Arabidopsis thaliana: one gene and its partner. The protein of the gene in region 2 interacts with the protein of the main gene of each other region in a pairwise test. Each region holds a gene or a part of one and is shown on either strand. Other genes may lie near its edges.

Region 1 (5,776 bases), on a different chromosome or scaffold from region 2:
GTGTTTTACATTTGATTGAATTCGTATAAATCAATAAACAATTGGTAAAAATTTAAACTAAAATTCATAGAACATTGATTTGGAAGTTTTGATAACAGGGGAAAAGTTGTGACAATATGGTGGAGTTGGTAACAGAAATAAGGGTTTGGGGACAATCAATCATTGTGGTTTGTATGATAATTTCGTGTTGTCCTATTGGACCTGGGGTTGATAAACCATCGAGTCCAACAAGAACACAACATATGTACATATGTTTGGTGTATGCAAAATGTTGTCTTTTCAAATTTTCAGAAAAGATTGTTAAAAAATATAAATGCGTCTGCCGGGAGTCGAACCCGGGTCTATTGCTTGGAAGGCAATTATCCTAACCGTTGGACTACAGACGCTTTTGCATATCGAGCAAATAAACTATATATACATATAAACTTTGGATGTTGAGGTTAAAGTGAGAAAGATTTTAAAATACATATATATAGATATAATCTATATATATATTTTTGCATCCATTTTGTGAAATAAATCCTGGAGTTGAAACTTATTTACAATGGCTGTCACTGGCTTTTAATTATTAGTTTTTTCAGCAATAAATTGATTAACAAACGAAAAACATTCCAAATATATTTCAATCCCATATATCACGCAGATTTTTCCAAAATTTGAACTAGATTTCAGCAACTATTTAAAACAAAAAATGTTTGACAACCCAAAAGACAATTGCAATCCCTTAAAATGAGCAAACGCAACTAAATACATTTCTTATCAATTCACTAAATCTTATTTCTCCAAAATTTGAACTAGATTTCGACAACTATTTAAAACAAAATTTTGTTTGACAAACTAAAACACAATCGCAATCCATAAAATATTTATTTTAATTATAAATTTCAACTAGCGGGGTACCGCGGTTTTTTTTTACAGGACGGGTTTGGCAGAACGGGTTTGGAAGGACGTTACTTAATAACAATTGTAAACTATAAAATAAAAATATTTTATAGATAGAGATAATTTGCAAAATTTTATATATACTAGTTTAAATAAAAAAAATTATCTCCGCGGTGTACCGCGGGTTAAAATCTAGTCTATATATACATTTTTGCAACTATTTTGTGAAATAAATCTTGTAGTTGAGAATTATTTACAATGATTGCCACTGGATTTTAATATTTGTTTTTGATAATTAGAAAAAAAATCTTCGAATTAAATATTTGACATTTAATAAATTTTTTTAAAATCTCTTTACATTAACTACACGATTGGTTACTAAAATAAAACTTTCAAAATATTTAATATCATTTAATTACTACAAAATTATCATTATTGATATTGTTTTTCTTCATGACTATTACAATTCAATTATAATCATCAAACCGCAGAGATATTTGATAACATTTAATTACTACAAAATTACAAAATATTTAGACAATGATTCATAAACATATGATAAAGAAGATCAACATTAATAAAATAAATGAGCTTTTTTTACGGGATGGGTTGGCGGGACGAGTTTGGCAGGACGAGTTTGGCAGGACGAGTTTGGCAGGACGAGTTTGGCAGGACGTTACTTAATAACAATTCTAAACTATAAAATAAAAATATTTTATAGATAGTTACATAGATTGTTACAAATTACAAACTTTTATATATACTAATTTTAAAATATAAATTGTCCCTACGGTATATCGCGGGTGAAAATCTAGTATTATTATTATTAACCGAAAGAAATTTCTTTCAATTTTAAAAATTCTGTCAGTTATAATGAAAATGTAAAACTGTAATAAGGATTTAATATACATATTAACATGTTATATTGATATGTTATTACTATTATCCAATTTGCTTTTTCTATTACTGTTTGTTGGATGTATTGAAAATTTAAGATTGTCTCCAAAATCGATTATTTTGAAATTATATATAAAAAATAAGATTTAAGAGATTTGTTTCCAAAATATTTTGAATTCTCCATTTATTTTCATATTCTATCATATATTTTTTAAAGAAAATAATCAAGATATACACATTTTATAACTTCATAAATCGTTTGACACAGAAGAGAATCGATAAACTATAAATCTGCAATGTTTAATATTATTACGAAATGCTTTTAGGTAAAAGATGATATGATAGCAAGTGTGTTTTTTGGACTTATAAAAGTGAGTAGCACCTAGTGGGGGGAGAGAGAGAGAAAGAGAAACAAAGAGAGCGATAAAGAGATGGGTGGAGAAGAGAGATCAGGAGATGGAGAAAAAAGAGGGGAAGAAGTAGTTGATGCTGGTTCTCTCTTCGTCCTTAAATCCAAAGGTACGTTTTATTAATTATGAAATCTATGAAACTTAACGTATACTATTATAACCCATTTGAAGAAGATATGATGATGATGATGATGGAAACTAGGGACATGGTGGCACTGCGGATTCCACTTGACGACGTCTATAGTGGCGCCTGCGCTACTGAGTCTACCGTACGCCTTCAAGTTCTTAGGATGGGCTGCCGGGATATCTTGTCTGGTCGGAGGAGCAGCCGTTACTTTCTACTCGTACACTCTTCTTTCTCTTACTCTCGAACACCACGCTTCTCTCGGCAACCGTTACCTCCGCTTCCGTGACATGGCTCATCACATCCTCAGTAATTCTTTTTCTTTTTACATTTGCTCTTTCCTATAATCAAAGCTGCGACAAATTTACCTTAAGAGAATTTCATTCAAGATTGAGATGTATAGTTGTACGTAGACATACGTGTCTATATGAACTTCTATACGTAATAATTGACACACGGCCGGTACCACTCCAATAATTTCATCCACGCAATAAAGGAAGGTACATGTCCTACGTAATAATTTGTTTGAACAAAAAAAAAAGTTAATTTTTGTGTGAAAACGCGAGATGGAATACTTATAATCACGTTTGCTATTACGAACAACGGAATTTTATAAGAAACCAAGTAAACATTGGTATGAGCTCAACTTTTGTTCGTGGTTGGTTAATATCACAATATATGTATTGTGTAAACCTATGATTTTTAAAAAAATACTTTTCTATACTGTTTGGTCTTGTTTCGAATTATAAGAAGAAAAAAAACTAATCATATGGAATTCATATTATAGTGAATTTTTTGATATGGCTTGCTTCGGTTCAATTTTGTTGGGATCCGGATCGAAGTGTTGACCATTCCACATTTCCACTCATACCACTGTTAAGTTTCAACTTTTTCATGCGTTAGATAGCTGTCTCTTTCCGTGTCTTGTTTCATTTTTGATGCAGAAATTTGTCTTTCAAAACTAATTTCAATTTTTAAAAATATGTGCGTGTCAGAAGAGTATTCATAAAACGTTGGTGCCGACCAAAATTTAATCTTATATAAGTAAAGTTGGATAGGTTCGATCTGCTTTCAAAAGTAGAATATTCTAAATTTCAGATCCTACATAGGATTCGATCCAAATTAGGATAGTTACGCTTTGACTGTCGACTACCAAGGAAATCCACATGTCAACAAAACTTTTAAGACAAAATTTAACGTATTTATCTATGCAAAAACTACAAAATGATGAGAAAAAATTGATTGAAATTTTTTATCTTACTGGATAATTCTGTTTTAGTAGCTAATATGAAACTAAATCCATTATGCATCGAATCATCGATTTGGATTTTAGTTTTCATTAGAGTACACCGCTAATCTGAAGGATTTATAGGAATTCGATTTAGCCCACTTTTTCGGGACTGTATACAACTTTAATTAGGATAAGGTAAAGTATAATACAGGTTCCGAATGTTTGATTAGTTAAGATCAGTTTGGTTTTCCTCTTAACAATTATTGGGGTGTGTTTGATAAGGTCCGAAATGGGGAAGGTACTACGTTGGACCAATACAAATGGCGGTGTGCTATGGTGTGGTTATTGCCAATGCGCTCTTGGGAGGGCAATGCCTAAAGGCAATGTACTTGGTAGTGCAGCCAAATGGGGAAATGAAACTCTTTGAGTTTGTGATTATTTTTGGATGCTTACTTTTGGTTTTGGCACAATTCCCATCCTTTCACTCTCTACGATACATCAACTCACTGTCTCTCCTCCTCTGCCTCCTCTACAGTGCTTCTGCCGCTGCTGCATCCATCTACATTGGTACTCTTCTTTACTAAACCACTTTACTCTTAATTCTTAAACCTTTTATATTGTTACATTTAAAAGGTGAGTTTTCTGTTAAATATCAGGAAAAGAACCAAATGCACCAGAGAAGGACTATACTATAGTTGGTGATCCAGAAACTAGAGTGTTTGGAATCTTTAATGCTATGGCTATTATTGCTACTACATACGGCAATGGCATTATACCTGAAATTCAGGTTTCATTTTGTTTCCATTCTTTGTTTAGAACACCACTTTAATATTTATTCATCAAAAACAAAAGGGCAGTCACATGATCGACTCAGTTATATATATAGAGTATTTGATATATGAATACTATCTTCTTGCAACGCAGGCAACAATATCGGCACCAGTGAAAGGAAAAATGATGAAAGGGTTGTGTATGTGTTACCTTGTAGTAATAATGACATTTTTCACAGTAGCCATCACAGGATATTGGGCATTCGGTAAAAAAGCCAATGGACTTATCTTCACCAATTTCTTAAATGCCGAGACAAACCATTACTTTGTCCCTACTTGGTTTATTTTTCTCGTCAATCTCTTCACTGTCCTTCAACTTTCGGCCGTTGCTGTGGTAAATACAATTTTTTTTTAACGTTTTTCTTTCACATATATACATTGTTATTATTTTATTTTATTTTCGTCACATATATACATTGTTACTAATTTTGAGTTATGCAGGTATACCTACAACCTATAAACGATATTTTGGAAAGTGTGATCAGCGATCCAACAAAGAAAGAATTCTCTATCCGCAATGTCATCCCTCGACTAGTTGTGCGTTCCCTCTTCGTCGTGATGGCTACAATCGTTGCGGCAATGCTTCCATTTTTTGGAGATGTAAACTCCTTGTTAGGCGCTTTCGGTTTTATACCTCTAGACTTCGTTCTTCCTGTAGTTTTCTTCAACTTTACTTTCAAGCCGTCTAAAAAAAGTTTCATTTTTTGGATCAACACTGTGATCGCCGTGGTTTTTTCGTGTTTAGGGGTGATTGCTATGGTAGCGGCGGTTAGACAGATTATAATAGATGCCAATACGTATAAGTTGTTTGCGGATGTATAAAAGAACATGCAAAGCAAAGTGAGATTGTTATTTCTATATTTAAGAATAAGCCTTTTTTTTTCTTAGAAAAATGTTTATGATTATAAATTTGGAAAATAATATTCAAATTTTGATAACAATATTTTTACATAATTTAAATTAATTAATTTTGAATGAAATAAATACAGATGAAATAAATATCTAGAAAATTGATAAATCACAGTACAGGCCTGGAATATGAGCATTTGAAACCCAACGCAAAACAATTCCTAGAAACGGAAGCCCAAAAGTTGGGGGCTATAATTAAACCGGATTTAAAAAATCGGTTTGATTGGTTACCCACACAAAAATCTGGTTCAGGATTTTAGACTCGTTTTCAATTTCAAGCGTGTTTGGTTCGCCGGCAGAGAGACATAACCAAACAAATAGGGTTTAAGCTCTACTAAAATGGCGACGACGTTGAATCGAATCCTGAAGCATAGATCAGTCTCTGCTCTCAACAAGCATCATCAAGGACTCTTCTCCCTCACTCGATACGAGAATCATGACTCTCTCCCTTCTCAAATGCCAGCTCTTCGATCAACCACCCGTTCTTTCCTCG
Region 2 (5,285 bases):
TCAGAGTAATGAAGTCACTAGGTGCATCCATATCGCGCTGTTATGTGTTCAAGAAAATCCAGAAGACCGTCCAATGTTATCAACAATCATCTTAATGCTGACTAGTAACACAATTACTCTACCAGTGCCTCGCCTACCGGGATTTTTCCCACGAAGCAGGCAACTGAAACTGGTATCTGAAGGATCAGAGTCTGATCAGTATACAAGCAAGTCTTCCTCATTTAGTTCGTAAAAATTGATGTGGTTCCTCATCATAGCTTAAAAGTTGTAACAGAAAAATGGTCAGATGACATTTATATTATTTGTCCACGGACATAAGAAACATAGCAGGTTTATCTGTAATTGTATGTTGTACAGTGTCCACTGTAAAATGCTTATGAACAGTTCACAGTTCTTTAAGAATCGTTTCTCGATTACTGGTTTTACTCTCTTCATGCTGAATCAAATTACCTGCTAGATCGTTGTGTAAGCTTAATTTGGAGGGAAAAGTCACTGTTACGTCTTCATGGAGAAACGTGTAAATGGTATATATCTTATACTTGCTTGTGGTTACAATTACAATACAAACATTCTATAACAAAAGAAGTTTTTAACTTATTTTCAACACCAATAGATTCAGGAATCAGGTATGAAGGGAAAAACTCATCATCATCGAGGATGTATATCTGTGATGGATGCATCGTCAACAGACCCTAGAAGAGATTTGCTCGTTGTATCTGTATCAAGCGGGTCTTTTCCAATTCTACTCTGAAAGAAAAGACCGGGTTGCCGTGGCACGGGTAAAGTCACAGTGTTACTAGTGAGCATCAGAACAATGGTTGACAACGTCGGACGCTCAGCAGGATCTTCTTGAACACATAAAAGACCGATATGGACACATCGAACAACTTCATTCCTTTGGCAATTTTCTACAATAGCTGGATCCACGAGTTCTAATGGTCGCCCGTTACTCCAAAGCCCCCAAGCCTAGAATATTATTCAATCAATCAACACTTGCAACTATGTTCAGGTAAATATGGAACTTGATAGGTTTAAAACTTACATATGAGACCAAGTCATGTGCACCATCTGTTTGGTAGAAGCTGCTATTCTTCTTGCCACTTATAATCTCAAGAACTAACACTCCGAAGCTATAGACATCAGATTTCATTGAGTACTGACCATGCATTGCATACTCGGGAGACATGTAACCACTGTAACCCACAACAAAAACTATGTTAACCAAAGGATGTTCAGAAAACTTCAACTTATAAACCCACAACAAAAACTATGTTAACAAAAGAATGTTCAGAAAACTTCAACTTATGAGAAGTTATGAGGAAGACTTACTAGGTACCAACTATTCTGCTTGTGTTCTCTTCGGTTTGGTCCAATCCAAAGATCCTAGCCATTCCAAAATCTGCAATTTTAGGATTCATATCCGCGTCCAAGAGAATGTTACTGGCTTTGAGGTCACGGTGTATGATTGTGAGTCGTGAGTCTTGATGAAGATACAGAATCCCTCGAGCAACTCCACCGATAATCTTGTATCGTCGAGTCCAATCCAGCTGGCCTTTCTTTGCAGGGTCTGTCCACATCCATAAATCACAATGAGATCTCTAAACATTCGTAACCCCAAGTATCAAGAATCATTGAAACAAAGCATTAAATGCAACTAACCAAAGAGGAAGTAATCAAGACTTTTGTTGGGCACATACTCGTAGACCAGTACTCTTTCTTCTCCGTCTAGACAAAACCCAAGAAGTCTAACCAGATTTCTATGTTGTAGCTTTGCAACAAGAACAACCTCGTTCTTGAACTCTACTTCACCTTGTCCTGATGACTTTGATAGTCGCTTCACCGCAACTTCAGTCCCATCCGATAAAGTACCCTGTTGTTTTCATCAGCATCATCCCATTATCCAAAAGTGTTGGCTTAAAATTTCAAGAAAAAAAAAACACAGCTCAAGGGAACTATAATTTACCTTGTAAACCTCACCAAATCCACCTTGACCAATCTTATTACTCTCTACAAAATCATCTGTTGCAGTTTGAATTGTTCTATAATCAAGCTGTAGTGAGTCTGCTGTTGTGATATCATCTCCTGTTACACAATGAAAGTCTTTGAAGCAGGAAAAACAAGCTGAGCATTGACATTAAAGATCGTTTATCACTTGAAATCTTTACCAGCAAATGCAGATGGTGTGTAATAACTCTTCCTTGCCCTTCTTGTAAGGAAACAATAACCAGCTATAAAAAGCAGAACAGCCACTATAATAGGCACAACAATGGCTATCACTAACACCTTTGAATTCCCATCTTTTCCTGCATTTCAAAGATTATTTGCTTAAAAATCAGATAGAAGAAAACTCTCTATATTGGTTTTGCCAATTTCAAGAAATCAGGGCAAAAAAAAAAAACAGAGGAAAAAAACAGAGCTCTGACCAGATCGCGGAGGAGCTGAAACTGGAGGAGTAGAAATTGACGGTGGTGGTGGTGGTGGTGGAACGGCGGATTCGGTGTAAAACGCGTAGATCTCGTATCTTGAAGTACAGCTCGGATTAATAATTCTTGCACCAATTCTGTCAGTAGGTATTTGATTGATGACCAGTTGGAGACAACGCGAACAGTCTTGTCTCGTGAGATCAGGTGTGCACTGAACCAGTCCATAGAAACTCTGCAACGCAGTAAAATTGTTTTTTCTCGTACCGAATTTTTTGGAACTGTTCAAGGCTACGGTGGCGGCTTGGTTCAGAGTAGGCAAAACCAAATCACTTAACAGGTCTAGTTGGTTAGATGTCACATTCCGGGTGTTAACCAAGATAACTCCACCGGTGGTTATTAGTGTCGAGAGAATATTCTGGTTAGAGTATCTAAGTACACACTCATCGTAATAAAGTGTGGCTTCTTTCTGGTTAGGACACCGAGTTAAGGTGTCGTTGACGGCAAAGGAGACGCATCTACGGCAAACTTCCGTTGAGACATCTCCACGGCAGTTGAAAAGTCCGGTGACTCTGTCTGGAGCTTGGCCGACGGTGGCGTTTTGGAATCCGGTGGAGTAGGAAGCGTTGCGGGAAGAAAGAGAAGCCAAAAGGGTCTTGAGATTGTTGTTGTAAGTGCTGTTACTTGTGTAATTTGCCGTATTTTGACAGGTGTGGTATACGTAAGTGGGATCTTGAGCAGAAACTCTGAAACTCGTGAGAAAGGAGAAGAGGAAAAGGAAGAAGAAAGAGGAGTAATAAGACATAATTGGGCTTTCTTGATCTGTGTTTCTTCTCATCAAGCTTTGAGTGATATATGAAACAAATTTGATTGTTTGTTCTCTCTCAGTGACTACCGTAGATAACGTTTTGTGCTGACGAAAAGTCAAGGTCAAGGTCAACGCGTCTCGTATTAAATTGTCGGGTCTTGTCCAACTTCTTGTGTTTAGCTACTAATCCATTACTTATTTTTTTAATATATGAAATATAGAAAAAAATTACGGAAAATATAAAATCATTTTAAAATGAAGAAAATTATCAAAACTGTCAAAATTTAAAACATAATAACTCTAAATTCAAGCTTTGAACTCTAAAGTCTTTTTTTTTTTTGATCAAAAAAAAGGTAGTTGGGATTTTCAAGAGAAAATAAATGTAGCAGTTGGCATGATTTCAAAGATCTTAATTACTAGTAATAGAATTTAGATATACATGAGAGAAACTAGCTAGCAGTAGAATTTGTTTCGTACTTTTCCTTGAACAGAATTGTTGAAATTAGGAATCTTTGTTGACTATTCTTCAAAGAATCATTCTGGGGCTGAAAAAATTGTCGCCACTGATGCGAAGAAATTATTGGTTGATAATAGGTTTTTGTTTTAAGCACGATAATTTATTAATTTGTATATCGTATATGCTAGTATGGTTATTGTGATGTAGTGATACTAAAATAGTATTACCAAATCATCTGCCTATCGTTATCTGATATTGTTAGTTACTAATTATTCTATTACTTTTTATAGTCTTACTCGCGAGAAGTTAAATAACTTGATATTCCACATGACGTCGTTCCATATAATGGTTCCATCATAAGTCCTTTCGTGTTTTCACCCGGATATGAATCTACAGCATATAAGTTTTAATATTTAAAGTTAATATCGGAATATATAAACATGAATTTGCTATATGAATGTGAAATATTTTGACATCATCCGAATACAATGTGTTTTAAAACGAATTTTGCATCCATAAGCTCCATCTAGCTAGTTGCAAAGGTGAGAAATATTTCCTTTTTGGTTCTCAGCTTCTCATGACTATTCCAAAACGAGAAAAAAGGCAATCAAAATTTTTAAAGGCATTCACATATACATAAGGAAAGAGAAAATAAAACCGAGAAGTATTTTATGTTTGATGTATCTCCGATCCTAGTAAAGGCCCAAGATATTGATGCAAGGTATATGAGACCTAGCTCAGCCGTGATTTCTCCGTGAAGAAGACTCAGCTTTGTTAATAATTGAATGAGGCGGTGTATGATGCCAAAACCCTAGTTCGTTCTATTTGATTTTAATGATATTATTCAAAACCCTAGTTTTTAAAAAGTAACTAATTTTTTTTCGTTACTGCCAAGGAAAAACAATCGGCTTTTCATGCAACAAATCTCGTTAAAATTGGTTATGGGCCTGCATGTGAAAATGGAGCCAGAACCAGAAGAGGACTTGGTCAATGCATCGAGAACATTTGCGTAATATTCTTTTTTTTTTCTTTTTTAGTAGTTTTTAATCATCAGCGTAATCTAAGACTCCGACCAAGTCTTACACAAAACAAAAAGAAGAGAAGCTGAGAAATCTGACAAGGAATTAGAAAATGAAAAAGAAAGTTTTTTTCCATTAGTAATAACAGAGGAAAAACTTATGCTTCTGTTGGTTCTCCCTTGCATCTCGCTTTCCTTAGCTCATTTTTACTGTTACGGTGTTACGCACAACTAGAATAATCACTTGGAACACTCAGAATGTTGCAGCGGGCCAGTTCAACGATCAGACGAAGTAAACATCAAGATAGCAAGAGCAACCACTATCGACGACGAATTCAGTTTGTGAGGAAGAGCGTTGGTGTAGCTTGAGACACGTTTCAATCACGTGTAGCTAAAAATATCTAGATAATTGTAATAGAAAATAAATTAAATATTTTATGTATTAATTGGTTTAGTATGAGAAAAGCCAAAACATTGACCAAGTCTAAGATTAAGAAAGCTAGATGAGCAATTCACTATCAAAGACGAGAAGACTGAAGTAAAGACAAAATAAGAAGACTCATTAGCTGCTTCACAATCCTT

The links.
Region 1: the proteins of CRK10 (region 2) and AT1G08230 interact in a protein complementation assay, tested with the Arabidopsis thaliana proteins (one large-scale study listed by BioGRID).

The regions. Positions count from the first base shown.
Region 1 is NC_003070.9:2,583,135-2,588,910, reverse strand, and holds AT1G08230 (Transmembrane amino acid transporter family protein), read left to right. Parts: upstream 1-1,941; 5' UTR 1,942-2,210; coding exon 2,211-2,298; exon of another isoform or gene 2,299-2,391; coding exon 2,392-2,622; exon of another isoform or gene 2,623-3,826; coding exon 3,827-4,111; intron 4,112-4,200; coding exon 4,201-4,331; intron 4,332-4,468; coding exon 4,469-4,708; intron 4,709-4,815; coding exon 4,816-5,196; 3' UTR 5,197-5,267; downstream 5,268-5,776. Other genes in the region: AT1G08220 (ATPase complex subunit), read left to right, coding at 5,623-5,776. UniProt on the Arabidopsis thaliana protein: High affinity gamma-aminobutyric acid (GABA) transporter probably involved in GABA uptake into cells.
Region 2 is NC_003075.7:12,136,144-12,141,428, reverse strand, and holds CRK10 (cysteine-rich RLK (RECEPTOR-like protein kinase) 10), read right to left. Parts: upstream 3,435-5,285; 5' UTR 3,259-3,434; coding exon 2,424-3,258; intron 2,304-2,423; coding exon 2,166-2,303; intron 2,083-2,165; coding exon 1,964-2,082; intron 1,871-1,963; coding exon 1,660-1,870; intron 1,568-1,659; coding exon 1,330-1,567; coding exon of another isoform or gene 1,329-1,329; exon of another isoform or gene 1,198-1,328; intron 1,194-1,197; coding exon 1,043-1,193; coding exon of another isoform or gene 983-1,042; exon of another isoform or gene 967-982; coding exon 649-966; 3' UTR 507-648; downstream 1-506. Other genes in the region: CRK11 (cysteine-rich RLK (RECEPTOR-like protein kinase) 11), read left to right, coding at 1-232.